Drosophila melanogaster: one gene and its partner. Changing the gene in region 1 together with any one later gene gives a genetic interaction. Each region holds a gene or a part of one and is shown in the gene's direction. Other genes may lie near its edges.

Region 1 (6,999 bases):
CTATTGCCTGCTGGGCCATAATCCACTCATATGCTGGATATTGTTGGTGGTGGAGCTCTAGGAGCCCCGCTTCCATTTGCGCTTTGTTGCCATCAATTGTGCATTGAACTGTGCAAATGTTTGTGTGTATAAGAACCCATGCCCCTGCCCCCTCCTTTCGACCCCGGCCACGCCCACTCCGCCCGCAAGCCGCCCACATGTGTACGGGGCAGATTCTTTGTTTTCCTTTTTACCAGCTAAAGAAAGCATGCGCAGGCGAGGGCTCCTTGAGGTTGTTTTCTTTTTGGAGCAATTGAAGCAGCCGCAACCTTTTGGGATAGACGAGCACATGGAATAGTTGCTCCGTGTGTGGATTGTTAGTTCTTCCCCCCGAAAAGCTGCAAGCTTTTGAATTTTCTACCAGCAAGAAATAACAAATATATATTTCAACAGGATAGCTACTTAAAAAGTTGGCAAATTAAATTTAAGATGACTTAAAGCATTAACTTACGAATATATGCATAAAATGCTCACAATTTTTTCGCTGTGCACCCAGTCCAATCGCCTCCTCCGCAGAGTTTCATTTCAAAAAGAAACTGGGGAATTATGCTGACGCATTTAAAATGCAATAAATGTGGGCGTGGCCGAAAGGGGGCCATCCTGATCCAGCAATTTTTGCCAGTCGTGCAAAATGTCAAACATGTCAATCAAAAGTCATTTGCTATGCTGCCCGCATGCCACGCAGCGTTCGATTTTGGCGCAAACAGTTTGGCGTCGAACACCGCATATTGAGCTGCATTTGATCGGCAGCCGTGGGCTGTGGTCCCCGGTCCATGGTCTCCATGGTATGACAATTTAGGAGGATCCCTTCTCCCGCCAGCAGAATCCGCTTAGTGCAGCCATATCCTTTCCCACATGCACCCACCAGTAGCTAGACCCTCGGAAAATGCTTGACAGATGCAGCTGAAGGCTTGTGCCAATACTTTTTGGTTATTTTGCCGCAAACACGCCTAATATGTGGATGGGGTCTGGGGGCGGAGGTCAGAGGAAGGCCTTTTGGGACCGGTCCCTTGATGTTTGCCCTACGACGTGTGCCCAATTTAAATTTTCTTGTATGTATTGTATGTGTTGGCACACGGATTGACTTCTACTCGAAAAATACCCTAATAAGATTAACTGGCATCTACGCTTTACGATATAAATTTCACATTTCCATTAAAGCTTTTATCCAAAAGAATACAATGTAAAGCATTTTAGCTTTCTTTTCATAAGTGCAAACAAATGCGATTTATGATTTAATTGCAAGTACAAAAAGTAAAATAAATAAAACCCATTACGAAAGATATAAATCTTGATAAAGTTAAGTCAAGTATTTATGACGAAAGTAAACTAAATTTCCTTAAATAAAATATATGTTCAAGTCAAGGGCATTTAGCATTCGCACTGACCCTGTTGATTTGGTCCTTGTTTTTATATATTTGCCTTTTGATTTGTTTGCGGATGCAAGTTGCGTCTTTTGCCAAGGGCGTTCCAACATGTTGGGGGGTTGGGCATTGGATTTGAAATTTGTGTAAATTGAATTTATTGAAGTCTAATAGTCCCACGTGTGCGCGCATATCTGCTGGCAACGCCAGACTTTCCTGACAGCCGTCAATATATCGATGGATATATATTGTATGTATTCAATCTATATATATGTATGTATGTGCGATGTGCATGCAGGTTCCGAGAGGTGAAGACGTTTGATGTCAAAAACGCTGCAAGGCGTTCGTCTTCCTCGGTCTGCGTTGAAGGGATGGTGGTATTTATAGTCTACTTAAAGGATTCCAGCACAAAGCAATTTCAAGTTGCCTGGGCCGTAAGTTCGGATTTCGATGACGGGATTCTGGGAGCACGTCAAGCGAGGACAAACAATTTAACTGAACGCGCTGAAAAAGGGGTGATTACGTACAGGATGGGTAAATGGATGTTGGGAGATGGGGTATGATATTGCGTGGGGGATGTGTGCTGTGTGTGTCCCCTTTTTCCACCAACGGGTGTTTGTCGACTGGCGGCGCCGCAACCGCAGATGCAAAAACACCGACGAAAGCGGCTGCTGCCACAAGCTATAGCAAATCAACAACCAACATCCAGCATACAGCAACCGGCGACAACCGACCGACGACGACTTCATTTCAAATAATTTACATTTTGCGGAATTTACGCTGAAATTTTAATTGGAATTTACTTTGCGACTTTTTCGTGGGCGGCCTGCGTAGCGCTAATTTATGGTTGGGAAAACTTTAGCCTCGTCTTCCGCTTGTTGACAAGCCAAATTTGTCATGCATTTAATGGCTTAGGCAGCAGTACCGTGCTGTCACGCCAATATTGAGCCGCTTGTAGTACAAGCACAATCAGACAGCATGGCGTATGCGTAACATTTCCATCGAGCAGGAACAATACTCGGGGGAAAACATCCGCGCAACAGCTTTCCAAAATCGAATGTACATACATATCTTACTCACATATACCTTATCAAATCGATTTAGTGCATGTTACGAAAAGGTTTTATATGCAAGTATATAAACTGCTCTATTAATAAAAGAATGATTTGAAGTGATGAATACAGGGGGTTAATTACGCGCTGTTTTTTTTTTTTACAGTGTTGATAGTTATATAATCCTTCAATATAAATATGGAACTGTTAAATTAATTAGGTACTAGTATTTTTTTTTTGTCTTTCGACTTATTTCTGACTGAGAAAGTTAGCTCTGTTGATAGAATGCCATTTTGTTCCATTTACAGCATCTCCTCGTCTGCGACAGCAACAGCTCTGTAAACGGCTGTAACCCATTAACACACTTTTACAGGCCGCTCTGCCGAGCAGTTAACAGCTGGCTAACAGTCGAGCGCTCGTTTGTCGCCATTCGCTTTTGATTCGCCTTTGAGTGGGTGAGCGGGCGACTGGGCGAGCGCTTGAGCGACTGAGCGGCGGCCCACTTTGAGTGCAACATGCGCGCAGCCGACGTCGCTGTTGAAGCTCTGCAGCAGCTGCCGAGCAGAGGCGTTGGCGTCGGCGTCGACCGAGTGTGTATTCGCAGTCGTGTTTTTGGGGGCACATTCCGAGCTGGGAACGCAGCCTGTAAGTGTGTCATTGTGTCCGTGTTTCCGTGTATCCGTGAGCTTCCGAGTATCTGAGTTTTGAGTTTCTCAGTCTTTGAGTTAACGAGCTGGCGAGCTTCGTGCGGCGCTCAGGGAAATTCGGTGGTTCATTCGTCTGTCAGCCAGCCGCAGTCGCAGTCGCTGTTCGCAGAGTCCGCCGTTCGCAGTCCGCTCGCCAATTTGGCCCGTTTGTGAAAATATTCGTAAGGCAGCCGCAGTCGCATGCTGAGAGGAAATAGGCGCGCTACAGATTCCGATTGCGATTCTTGTACTGGTACTGGTTCTGTTTCCCTTTTTTCTGCTTCGGATCTACCAAGAACAGAATACGGGGGGGAAAGTAGAGGAAGAAGCAGCAGCAGCAGAAGCAGCTGGAATAAATGATTACAGCTGGAGATTACAAGCGCATTGATTGCTGATGGCAACGGTGCGGATGAATTTCGGTAAATGTCGCGCGCGCGTGCCATTGCGTATACGCAGCGTTGGCCGTCGCCATTCGGTGACATTGTGCGCTCGCTTCCGCTGGGCCGCCAAATGCATTTTTCAGTTAATTTAAGAAAAAAGAATCTTGTGCGAAAATCAAATTAAAGAAAAAAGTGAGCAGCCTTCGCGGAAATAATATAAATGTATATTATATATTTCGAGAAAATATTATTGCATCTGCTCTTGTCGCATTGCCCTTGTGTTTTTCCGCTTTTGGTTGCGCCGTCGTTTAAGCTTTTCGGTTTCGTTTGTGTGATTATTGGGTGCAATTAATAAAATGTTGTCGCGCAAATTTATATACACGTGTATAAAACTAATGCAAAATGCCAGCCGTCGCACGTCCGTTCAGTTTTACATGCCAAATGGCCAAAGGAGAAATATTTTCGAAAAGAAACACGCTCAGCGAAAGGCAGTGAAATATGCACAAACCCTAATCGCAATCACCAGCGTTATTTGTTATGTGCCCAGTGCAAATGCGAAATGCGAAATGCTGAATGCAAATGCAACAGTCGAGGGCCCAACGCTGGAGGGAGCAATAGTCATACAGAAGCTATCGCCGCCGCTACGATAGCGATAACATAAATAAGAACAGCCAAAGCGAATCACGGACGGCAGAGCCACTCATCTATAAGCCAAGACCCACAGTCGAACACTCACACTCACACACACACTCAAAATAACACACAAACCCGTAATGCCAAGTACCCCGGGCACTGCAATCAAAGTAGCTGGTGGGTGGAAGTGGGGGCTCATGTTCTGGGGGGCAGTGAAATACACATAAAACAAATATCATAAGCGGTGATCAATGGCCTATTAGCAGCGGGAAGGTTAACCCGATCTTTGGCGTTCCAATGCTTAGTGTAAATAAAGAAAAGAAATATAGAAATGCTTATTTAAATGCCAGAATTTTAGGTATTCTTTTTATGAATTGTAATTTTTGTAATTTGTGATAGCGAAGCATATAAATTGAAATTTCACATTATTGGTACGTTTCTACATTAATATCTGTAGTCTTAAAATAGGGAAGTGATTCGTCACATATTGAAAATGAAACAACTATAATATTAAATTTATCCTCAAATTAAAATGAAGGTAACTTAGTTTAATTCTATTTTAGTGCTTTCTTTGGTAATTGTAATTACAGAAATTATTCAATAAATTGTGTGCCATGATACAGTCATAAAAATTACAAGAATGATATTGTGTAACCCAATCTACACACTTCTTGTGAACTAACTGTGACTTTTAAAGAGACAATAGGAATGTCAAATTTGTCCAGTGTATCCCAAACGGAAGTGTTGATATGGCCGCAGCTCAGTCACAGTCCCAGCTCAGTCGGTATAGAAATTGTCATCTCATAACGACTTAAGCTGCTCGGCACGCAACATGACCGGGCTGAGCAGCATAGTCAGCATTTCTGCACCTCCCAGAATCCAGCCCATCCTCCTCAGCAAACACTATTGCCACCCACTTTTCCAACCCACTGCCAATGCCCCTGGGGTCACACACACTTAAAGCCACAACAAACGCATCCACAGAATCTTTGAGGGCGATGACGATGACGACAACGACGATGATGATGATGACAATGGGCGGATGATGGCAAGTCATTTCTTTAAAGGTTGTCTCTCCATCAGTCGTTCTGTGTGCACTGAGTGATTTGGCTTGCCAGTGCCTTCTATTTACTTTCTATTTATTCGATTTGCATTTCCACTCTTCGGAGCCAAAAACTCGGAAGATTTCAAATGCAAATTCAGCTTCCCCAAAGCCGTTTCGAATAACTTCTGTGTGTTTTGTTTGGCTGTTGACTTGGCTTTCAGGCTCTCAATGGCTCTTTGGCTATGGAAATCTGCGACATCCATTTGGCAAATGGTGAGTATCAGACTAAATAATATTTGATTTTAATTAACAAGGCATCTAGTATTTGTCTTATTTCGAGTGTATACTGTCTGCCGGCATTTATGCCATTGATTTGTTATATGCCAGACAAAACGGACCCAATGTTTGCACAATAATCTAGCAATCAGCTTATACGTAAAGCAATCTGCAGCATCCATAAATTAAATACAGTAAGCTTTAGCTATAAGCGACAGTTCAGCTGACGATAATGTGTGTCCGAAGCTCAGAGGGAGAGTTAAGACTTAAGCCGATTGACTTGAGCAATTTTCTGAGTCGGTCTGGCGTTATTATTATTTCAATTGAATTAATTGTGGAGTAGGTTATTAGCGATATCGAAGGTGATATTAGATCCGTAATTATAGCACACATATAGTAATCATCTTATTCTTGTTTTGAATGAACTGACAATTATTTAATTTGTCTAATTTGGTCTTGTTTTATTGGAAATTGAGTGCTCTAATATACCTTTTGGTTTCCAAATCAAAAGTATATAGTATATATATATATAGTTCTAAAACATTTTATAATTAATATAACTTAATACCCGGAGACCTTACAAAACAATCACTGTTATAGAAATCTAATCAGTGTTAAGTACGCCTGCCGATTTCAATTAATTTTTGCATTCGTCCTAAGTTTATAATCAACAGTTCGGTTATCAGATTGCACTTTTTATAGGCGTTGATGGGAAATCAAATTTAAGAGGGCTTTCTGGAAATCATTATAACGTGCTATTAACAAAACTGCCATCACAGCGAAATTAGGCCCAAATTTGCGTTCAACTTCAATGGTCAAAAGAGGAAGTGCAAAATGGCGGGCCAAAGTACGTCCGATGCAGAAATTAACGCAATTGTATTTTTGCTGTCGGCTCCGTTGAAAATGCAATTTAAATGAGATTACACTTTGGCGAGCGGCCACGCCTAGTTTTTGCGGTAGAGGGCGGGCGGGCGTTTGTAGGTGGGCTGGCTCATTAATTATGATACTTTGAGCTTCGAGTGGCGAAGCTGGCTTGCGGCTTGTATCGGAAATACCCGTTAAATCGGCAAATAACCGCAGGCCGTTCCAGCAAACACACATATAACCACCCCCCAACGCGCATACTTAATGATATTGAGTCGTTGGCCAGATGGGTGGTGTGGGGGGTGGGTTTATATGGCGATATTCAACGACAGGTGTTTAAAACTTTACCTTAAATAGCAACTCCTCGGGGGAAATGCGGAGATGTTGTGCTATGTCTTTGGACACCAACGGCGAATCTGGGGCGTTGTCGGCATTTTCTTGCTCAATCAACTTCAATCAAGCAGGAATTTTCAATGTAATTTGTGGTTTCAAAAGCGCTGCCACGCTGAAGATGTTCTGGCTGTGTCAAAGGCAGCCATTGAGTGTGTAGAAAGGCAGAAAATTATCGACAAGGCCCACAGCATTCACACACACACACACATACTTACACGTCGAAGAGAGTAGGCTGCGAGCTTGAAGGGTTCGAATAACAGCTACCCT
Region 2 (6,999 bases), on another chromosome or scaffold:
GGGGCTGGACGACAGACGCTCTAAAATTAACTAAATAGCAGACGCCAGCAGTCCAAGGAACCACCCGAAAATCCATACCATCCTAGCCCATTCCAGGACACGAAAAGTCACTTAGAAGACTGAGAATCAAAAGAAAAACGGCCAATGTCCGCCAGGTGTCCAAAGTACTCGCCCTTTTTTTTTCTATTTTTTATTTTTATTTTCATTCCTACGAATTGCATTTTATTGCCACGACAACAGTTCACAAAAAAAAAATTCATAGAAATGAGAGTAAGAAGGGAAGGAAAACTGAATAGAACCGCAGACCATGGCAAACGTAAAATGTTCACCATTTAACTAAATTGTTTCATTTAGCGTTGGAACAAAGTGGAAATGGGGGAAAAAGTGGGTGAAATTCTTGCGGGTGGGTAGATAAATGAGTTCCCAAATATAATACAGATTAATGGAGTCAAGGGATTTGGCTCATCAAATCCCGCAGTAGTTGCGCCGTTTTTCTTTTTTCTCGCGGAAGAAACAAATAGCAGTCAGTACATAACACATAAGTCCACATAAATTGTGCAAATTTATTTCACATTAATAACTATTGTCATTAAATTAAACAAAAGCTCGTGTACAGCTTTGCACATATTTACGTTTAAAATCTCTTTTATGTTCAAACAAACACCAACAATTTCTAAAATGTGTGCACAAATATATTTCTTACCGCCAAATGATGAGCATAAACTCTCAACATTTTTCTTTGTGGATTAAATGTGGAACCTTGGCATAACTTTTAATTAGCCCGCAGTGTTGAGTAACTTTTTAAGGAGTTTTTCACCTGCGAAAGTTTATTAAGTTTGCAGAAAATTGCATTCGGTTTAGAGTACTGTGGGTGAGTGTGTGTGTGTGTGTGTGTTTGTCTGCAGCAAAAGTACAAAAGTGGCTGGCTGTTGAGTTGTTGAGACGTGTTCTGTTATTTTTTTCGCCCCAGTTGTTGAGCAACTGGGCTGATTGGAAACGTAACGGAGGTGAAACAAATGCAGCCTCTCAGCCTCCCAATTTCCCACTCTTCGCACGCTTTACCATCACCACCCGAGAGATCCGCAATTCGCACGCCGGAATCCCCATTTCCAGCTCCAGCTCAAGCTTCATCTCCATCTGCGTCCGTGTCCAGGTACAACTGCTCCGGCTTAGCCGCAAGCCGGACCGAAGGACACACACAGGGAAAAGTGGGAAAATTGAGTTGAAAATTGTTCGTGGCACACACTTCACAGGCAACGCAAATTGACAGCTGTCAATCAACCGGTCGCCCACTTGAGCCCCACTCCACTTCGTCCTGCCAGGTGCCATTTCTCCATCCTGCGTCCTCCAACCGTGTCTGCAGATCCCATGGATGATGAGGCTTCATCCATTGGACTCCCGGTGGACAGCGATTGCCAGCTGCTGTTGTGCACTTGAAATTGATTAAGTCCCGGACCAAAGTTTTCCCAAGTTTCAAAAATGCAAAAGCCAAAAATTCAGACAGCAAAGTGCACTACTAAAACGGCAAGGAAACTTACTACTAATATTAAGCATAAAATTGATAAAATCACAACTAAATGCCTTTAAAGTCCGCAAGCAGCTAAAAAAATTTAATATGATTTTTAAATTTATGAAAAAAACCATCCCGCCAAGCAACATTACATATTCAAAGAGATCACAACTCCAACTTGTATAGGGCAAAAGAATTTCAGTTTAGGGCCGCTCAATTACAAACAGTCGGTGCTTCGAAATACCGGCAAAAAAGGAAACATCATCGTATCACTTAAATTGCAGAGCTTCAATCGAAATGTGTGTCCTCATTGGCCTCAAAACTGCTTTCCCCTCAGCATTTCACAATTTCTACCGACACACACACAGAGGGATCTGTGCGAAAAATGCTGGGGGAAACTAAGGTACTTCGAACTACGTCGTTGGCCAAGTGTTTCAATGACTGGCGGGAGAAGTTGAGCTCCGACTCGAACTCGGACTTTTATGAACCCGCCACACATTCGACAACTTCCGGTGCGTTGTCTATGTCCTTGCACACATACATAGTACATAGAAACAGAAACAGAAGGATGATGGTAGGTCCTGCCGGCTGGCAGTTATTAAGTTTATGGCCATAAACTTGCGGCCAAATAACTTGATACTCCATTTTGATTGCGACTGCGAAACCAGCTTCGAGCATTAGTTCATCTGGAATTCTGGTCCGACTGTTTCCATTTGGCATCTGGCTAAAGTGCAGCAGTTTCTGCTGCCCAGAAACCACATCATTTCGTGAGCAAACATAAACGAAAGTCAAGTACAGTAAGCACAAAATTGAGCAAAACACCTGCATTTTTGATGGCCAAACTAAACTTGCCTTTAAAGTTTGTTATTACACAATTTACTTAAGAATCCCATAAGTTTCATATTTCTTGCCTCAATGCCAATCTTCTCAAGCCGTACTAACATTAAATTTAATAATTGGTGCATTACTAACATATAAATAGGACTTTCCATCTATATTCTAAGTAATAAGAACCAAATTGAATTGTGGCAACCTTCTGGGAAATTGAACATTGTGTCTTGAGCTTACTTGTATTTCTGCGAAAATAAGTACGAATACATAGTATTTGGTCCGTTGCCTCTCGATTTCTTTGGGCAACGGTGCGTATGAAGGATTTAACCAATTATACGCAATACTGCAGCGCAACTTTTACAATAAATAAATGCGAATGAATACAAAAAGGGGAAGGTAGAAGGCAACTTTGAATTGACAAGGGAAATTGAAATATTTAAGTACTCTATTGATAAGAAACAATAACTAAAGCATCTGGCATGGCCTCACTTTATATATACTTTCATTATGTTTTATTAATATAAAGAATAATTATTTATATTATAATTATATTTATTAATTTAATATTTTTCATAGGTATAAACAATAAATATCAATATATATTTTACAAAACGTTACTATAGTAAAGGACCCCATACTGTTACCTGTAGTTTGACCCAATTAGTAAATCCCAATCCCTTATGTAAATTGAGATTTGCCAGCCATCCGAAAATTGCCCCCATCCAATGCGTTTTAAACCACCAAATACTATTTTCTTCGATTTTTTCCAGTGTATCTCTGTGTCTCTGTGTGTGTAGCAAACCCATCAGTACCACCCCCTCCAAAAATTAAAAAAAAAAACCCAAAAAGCCCCACTGAAAAAAAAACCCACGAATATAAAAAAAAACACACCCAAAAATCACCGCACTTTCGGCTAGCCGAAAACCACGAAAGAAATTCGCAATCATTCGCAAGAACTCGAACATTAAATACAGGCAAGGAGGAGGATAAGGCCGGAAATAGCCGAGTAAAGGAGGGCCGCAGGAGCGGCAGGAGCCGAAGGATACCGCTCACGTTCGAGGATCGGCGGGCGCTGCCACAGAAACCAGAACATGCGCCATGTCAAAACTGCGGCATTACCGGTCCATGGATCAGCCGTGCAGCAGCACCTGCGTGGTCATACGCAAAAAGTTAGCAATCCAGAGGAAATTCTTTAACTCTAAAACACCACAAACGCCACCTGACCTCAAAAATCAGCGGAAGCGCTTTCACTTTTCCACCAACTAAATAACGAAAAACCAAAAAAAAAAAAAAAAACAAAAAGCTTTCCTCTTCTCTACGCTTTTATCTATATGCACGTCAAACTAAAACTGAAACTGAAACCAAAGCCAGGACTCTCACCTTGGAGCTTTCACATCCTTAACCACATTCACCGCATGCCAAACTAACACACTAACAGCTTTTCGAACTTTTCCAAGCTTTCCAATCAACTTCGAGCCTTTGGCTTTCGTATCCTTTCATATCCTAAGGACGAAGCTCTTTTTCTCGAGAAAAGCTTTGCAGCCAAGCAGCCGATCCAAAAATAACATCTGCCATTCAGACATTCTTCACCGCATGACACTGTCCCATCTTCAATTTTCCCTCTTTTCCTCGCTTCTCCTTTTTTTTACTGCATGCACTTTGCTTGTCATTAAGTTAACTTATAGTAGGTTTTTACAATTCACTAATCGCCGTCTTGTGTATTTTCAGGACTATGACAGCCATTTGCTTTGTGTGCAACCTGCCCATCATGTCGCACCAAGTGGGTTTGGTGTGGCAGGGCGGCAACGGCTGGGACGATCTTGTGCGGGAGCAGGTGGGTCGCACTAATTCGCAATTATATTATGTTACATATATATATATATCTTAAATATTTCCCAAAGTGAATAAACAATTCATGCGAAAGAACCATTTTTGATGGTTCTGAGGAAGTGCTTGTGGCCTGAAAAAGAGCTTGAGCTAACTAAATCAGAGCTGCTTTCAATTGACAAACACTTTAGCTTATTTACAAAAAAAAAAAAACAATATAAGATAAAATTTATTCAAATCTTACAGAAAATTATGAAACTGAACATTTATTAAACACATTTTCGTTAATCGACAAATAATTTGTAATCGAAAATGTAAAATATATCTCAGCATTTAGTTTTAATTTGAAACATTTTCTTTTTGAAATTTAAAATAAATTCACTGCAGCCTCAAATTCAATAAATTTAATTTAATGTTTTAAATCTACATTTGTATTTAACAAAAGTTTTCAACTTAAAAGTGGCCATCTATAGAGAACTTCCCAACTACCACTTTCAGTGTAACCGAACCTTATGGCTATAGATCGTTGAATAATTCTTGAAGATCGTTTTGAGAATAATACGATGTTCCGCTTTCAGCTGGAGGAGTCCACCATACGGCAGCGGTTGGGCGGACGACGGGACTCAGCGGCCCAGATCACCACACCGCCGAGCACCTCGCCGCCGCCAGGATTGCAGCGCCGGCGGCGCAGCTCGCTGGCCCAGCTGACGGACATCCTGCGGGAGTGGAGCGGCGGCACCAAACAGCAGCAGCAGCACCACTCGCAGCAGCAGCAACAACAGCTGCAGCAGGCATCCCGCTCCAAGGCGCAGCTGAATCGACGCGAAACGCTGGCGGATCTGGCCCGCAGTCTGCCGTGGCGCACCTCAACCACCACCGATGCGAGCACGGGTGCCGGTGGATCGGGTGGTGGTGGCTGCACCACTTACATGGCGCCACGCAAGCGACGCGAATCATCCGCGGACTCGGGCATCCGGAGCATGAGGTCGCGACGAGACTCGAATACCGCCGAGTTCGTCAGGCACTGGAATCGGCGCGAAAGCGGGGCAGTTGAGGAGCAGCCCAGCGTCTCCGTGCCCGTCGTCGTCGAGTGCTCTAAAAGCGTAAGTATTTAGCGCATATATACTCTATAGAGATACAAAATCGGCTGCCTTAGGCAATAAGATATAAGATTGCTGGCAAATTCACTTAAATATGTTTTTATTATAAATAAATAACCGATTAAGTTAGTCGAAGCAACATTTCCAAGCAAGTGCATTTGCCAGTTGAGTTCTAAGTAATTACCAGCACCTTTTGGCTCCACCTTGACCACAACCTTGACCCCTAACCCGTGGCGCTGTTCTCTCTCTCTCTCTCTCTTTCCCACCATTCCACACCAAACCACCGCACATCCTGGCAACTACCAACCACCGAACCACCAAACCATCAGGCATCCCGGCGCGGATCCGGTGAGAGCTACCTGTCCAGCAGTCGACGCGATAGCAATGTGGCCGGTCGGGTGACCACGCCACCGCCACCCGGCAAATACCAGATGACCAAGAAGCGCGACTCACTGGCCGCGCCGGAATTCCCAAACTTTCGGCAGGAGCAGCGCCCGTCCACCAGTTCCGCCGGCTCCTGTTCGGACCACTCCATGCCCCTGATCTCGACGCATTCGAGCACTCACCACCTGGCCCATCAGCAGGTGGACTCCGCGTGCCAAGCCCTGCCGCCGCCAACGATCATCACTAGCTCCGTGACGCCACCGGCAACGAGTCCGACGGCGCCGAAGGGTCGCCGCGATTCGCAGACGCAGTGCGGCCGTGTCAATCGGCGGGATTCCAAGGCAGGCGTCAGTCCGGAGCGGGCGCCACGCCTACAGCGGCTGCAACGCCAGGCGACCGCCTTCGACGAGGGCTGCCTGCCGGGCGGCAGTAGGCGTGGCTCCCAGCCCGCACTCAGTCCCGATCCGCCGGACGATTGCGAGAGGCGCACCTCTCGACGGGATTCCCTGTCACCGGATAGCGCGTCGCGTGGCGGTCGTCGAGATTCGCGAACGCATCTATCGCCGGATCGATCCCACGAGCGGGATGGTAGTCCAAGGCGGCATACACTCCGCAGGCAGAGCAGTTCGGCAGCCAGATCGCCGAGATCGCCGGACTCGAATAGCTGCTGCTCCTCCCGGGATCCAAGTCCCTGTTCTAGGCCACAAACGCAGACCACCGTCGAGCAGAACCAGCGGCCGGCCATTCGGAGGCAGTCCACCACCGAGGAGATACTGATCGCCAGGGGATTCCGCCGGCAGTCGACCACCGAGGAGATGATACGCTGCAGGAACTTCCGGCGACAGAGCTCGCAGAGCGACGACGTCTGTCGGTGAGTGCTGATATTTAACACTTGTTACAATAAGTATATGATTATATTCAATTATACACCTGTACTTCCAGTTATCGTGGCAGACGCGATTCGTCGGCGCAGATAATTGACGGCACCATCGGCACCATGACCGTGGAAACAACCAGTACATTTTTCGACTCCAGCACCCAGACAGGTGAGCACTTTGATTTTTGAAATTTTCCCACCCAATTGGTACTGCCAACCGGACTGCGAGCTTTTCGGGCAGCTTAAGATATCCTTTGAAAGCTTGAAAAGTGGAAAGCTTTTAGGCATTTTCCCATGTTTACTGAGCGAAAAGCTGGTGTCAGCTGTTTGGCGCCAGGACAGCTGTTCGTTGGCAAGGACCTGTCCACTCGGCATGGCATTCGCGTCCTTTTCACTCGACACATGCCATTCAGTTGGTGTTGAAGTAACAGACGTGCCACAAGCACCGCAGCAGCCAGTCGCAAGAAAAT

What was found.
Region 2: of Octbeta2R (region 1) and rsh, changing one enhances a phenotype caused by changing the other (phenotypic enhancement), as found in Drosophila melanogaster (one study listed by BioGRID).

What each region holds. Positions count from the first base shown.
Region 1 is NT_033777.3:12,591,956-12,598,954, reverse strand, and holds the start of Octbeta2R (octopamine beta2 receptor), read left to right. Parts: upstream 1-3,850; 5' UTR 3,851-4,445; intron 4,446-4,956; exon of another isoform or gene 4,957-5,472; intron 5,473-6,999. UniProt on the Drosophila melanogaster protein: Autoreceptor for octopamine (OA), which is a neurotransmitter, neurohormone, and neuromodulator in invertebrates. Essential for ovulation and fertilization.
Region 2 is NC_004354.4:13,027,646-13,034,644, forward strand, and holds the start of rsh (radish), read left to right. Parts: upstream 1-3,109; 5' UTR 3,110-3,439; coding exon 3,440-3,510; intron 3,511-4,069; coding exon 4,070-4,175; intron 4,176-4,746; coding exon 4,747-5,271; intron 5,272-5,597; coding exon 5,598-6,523; intron 6,524-6,594; coding exon 6,595-6,698; intron 6,699-6,999.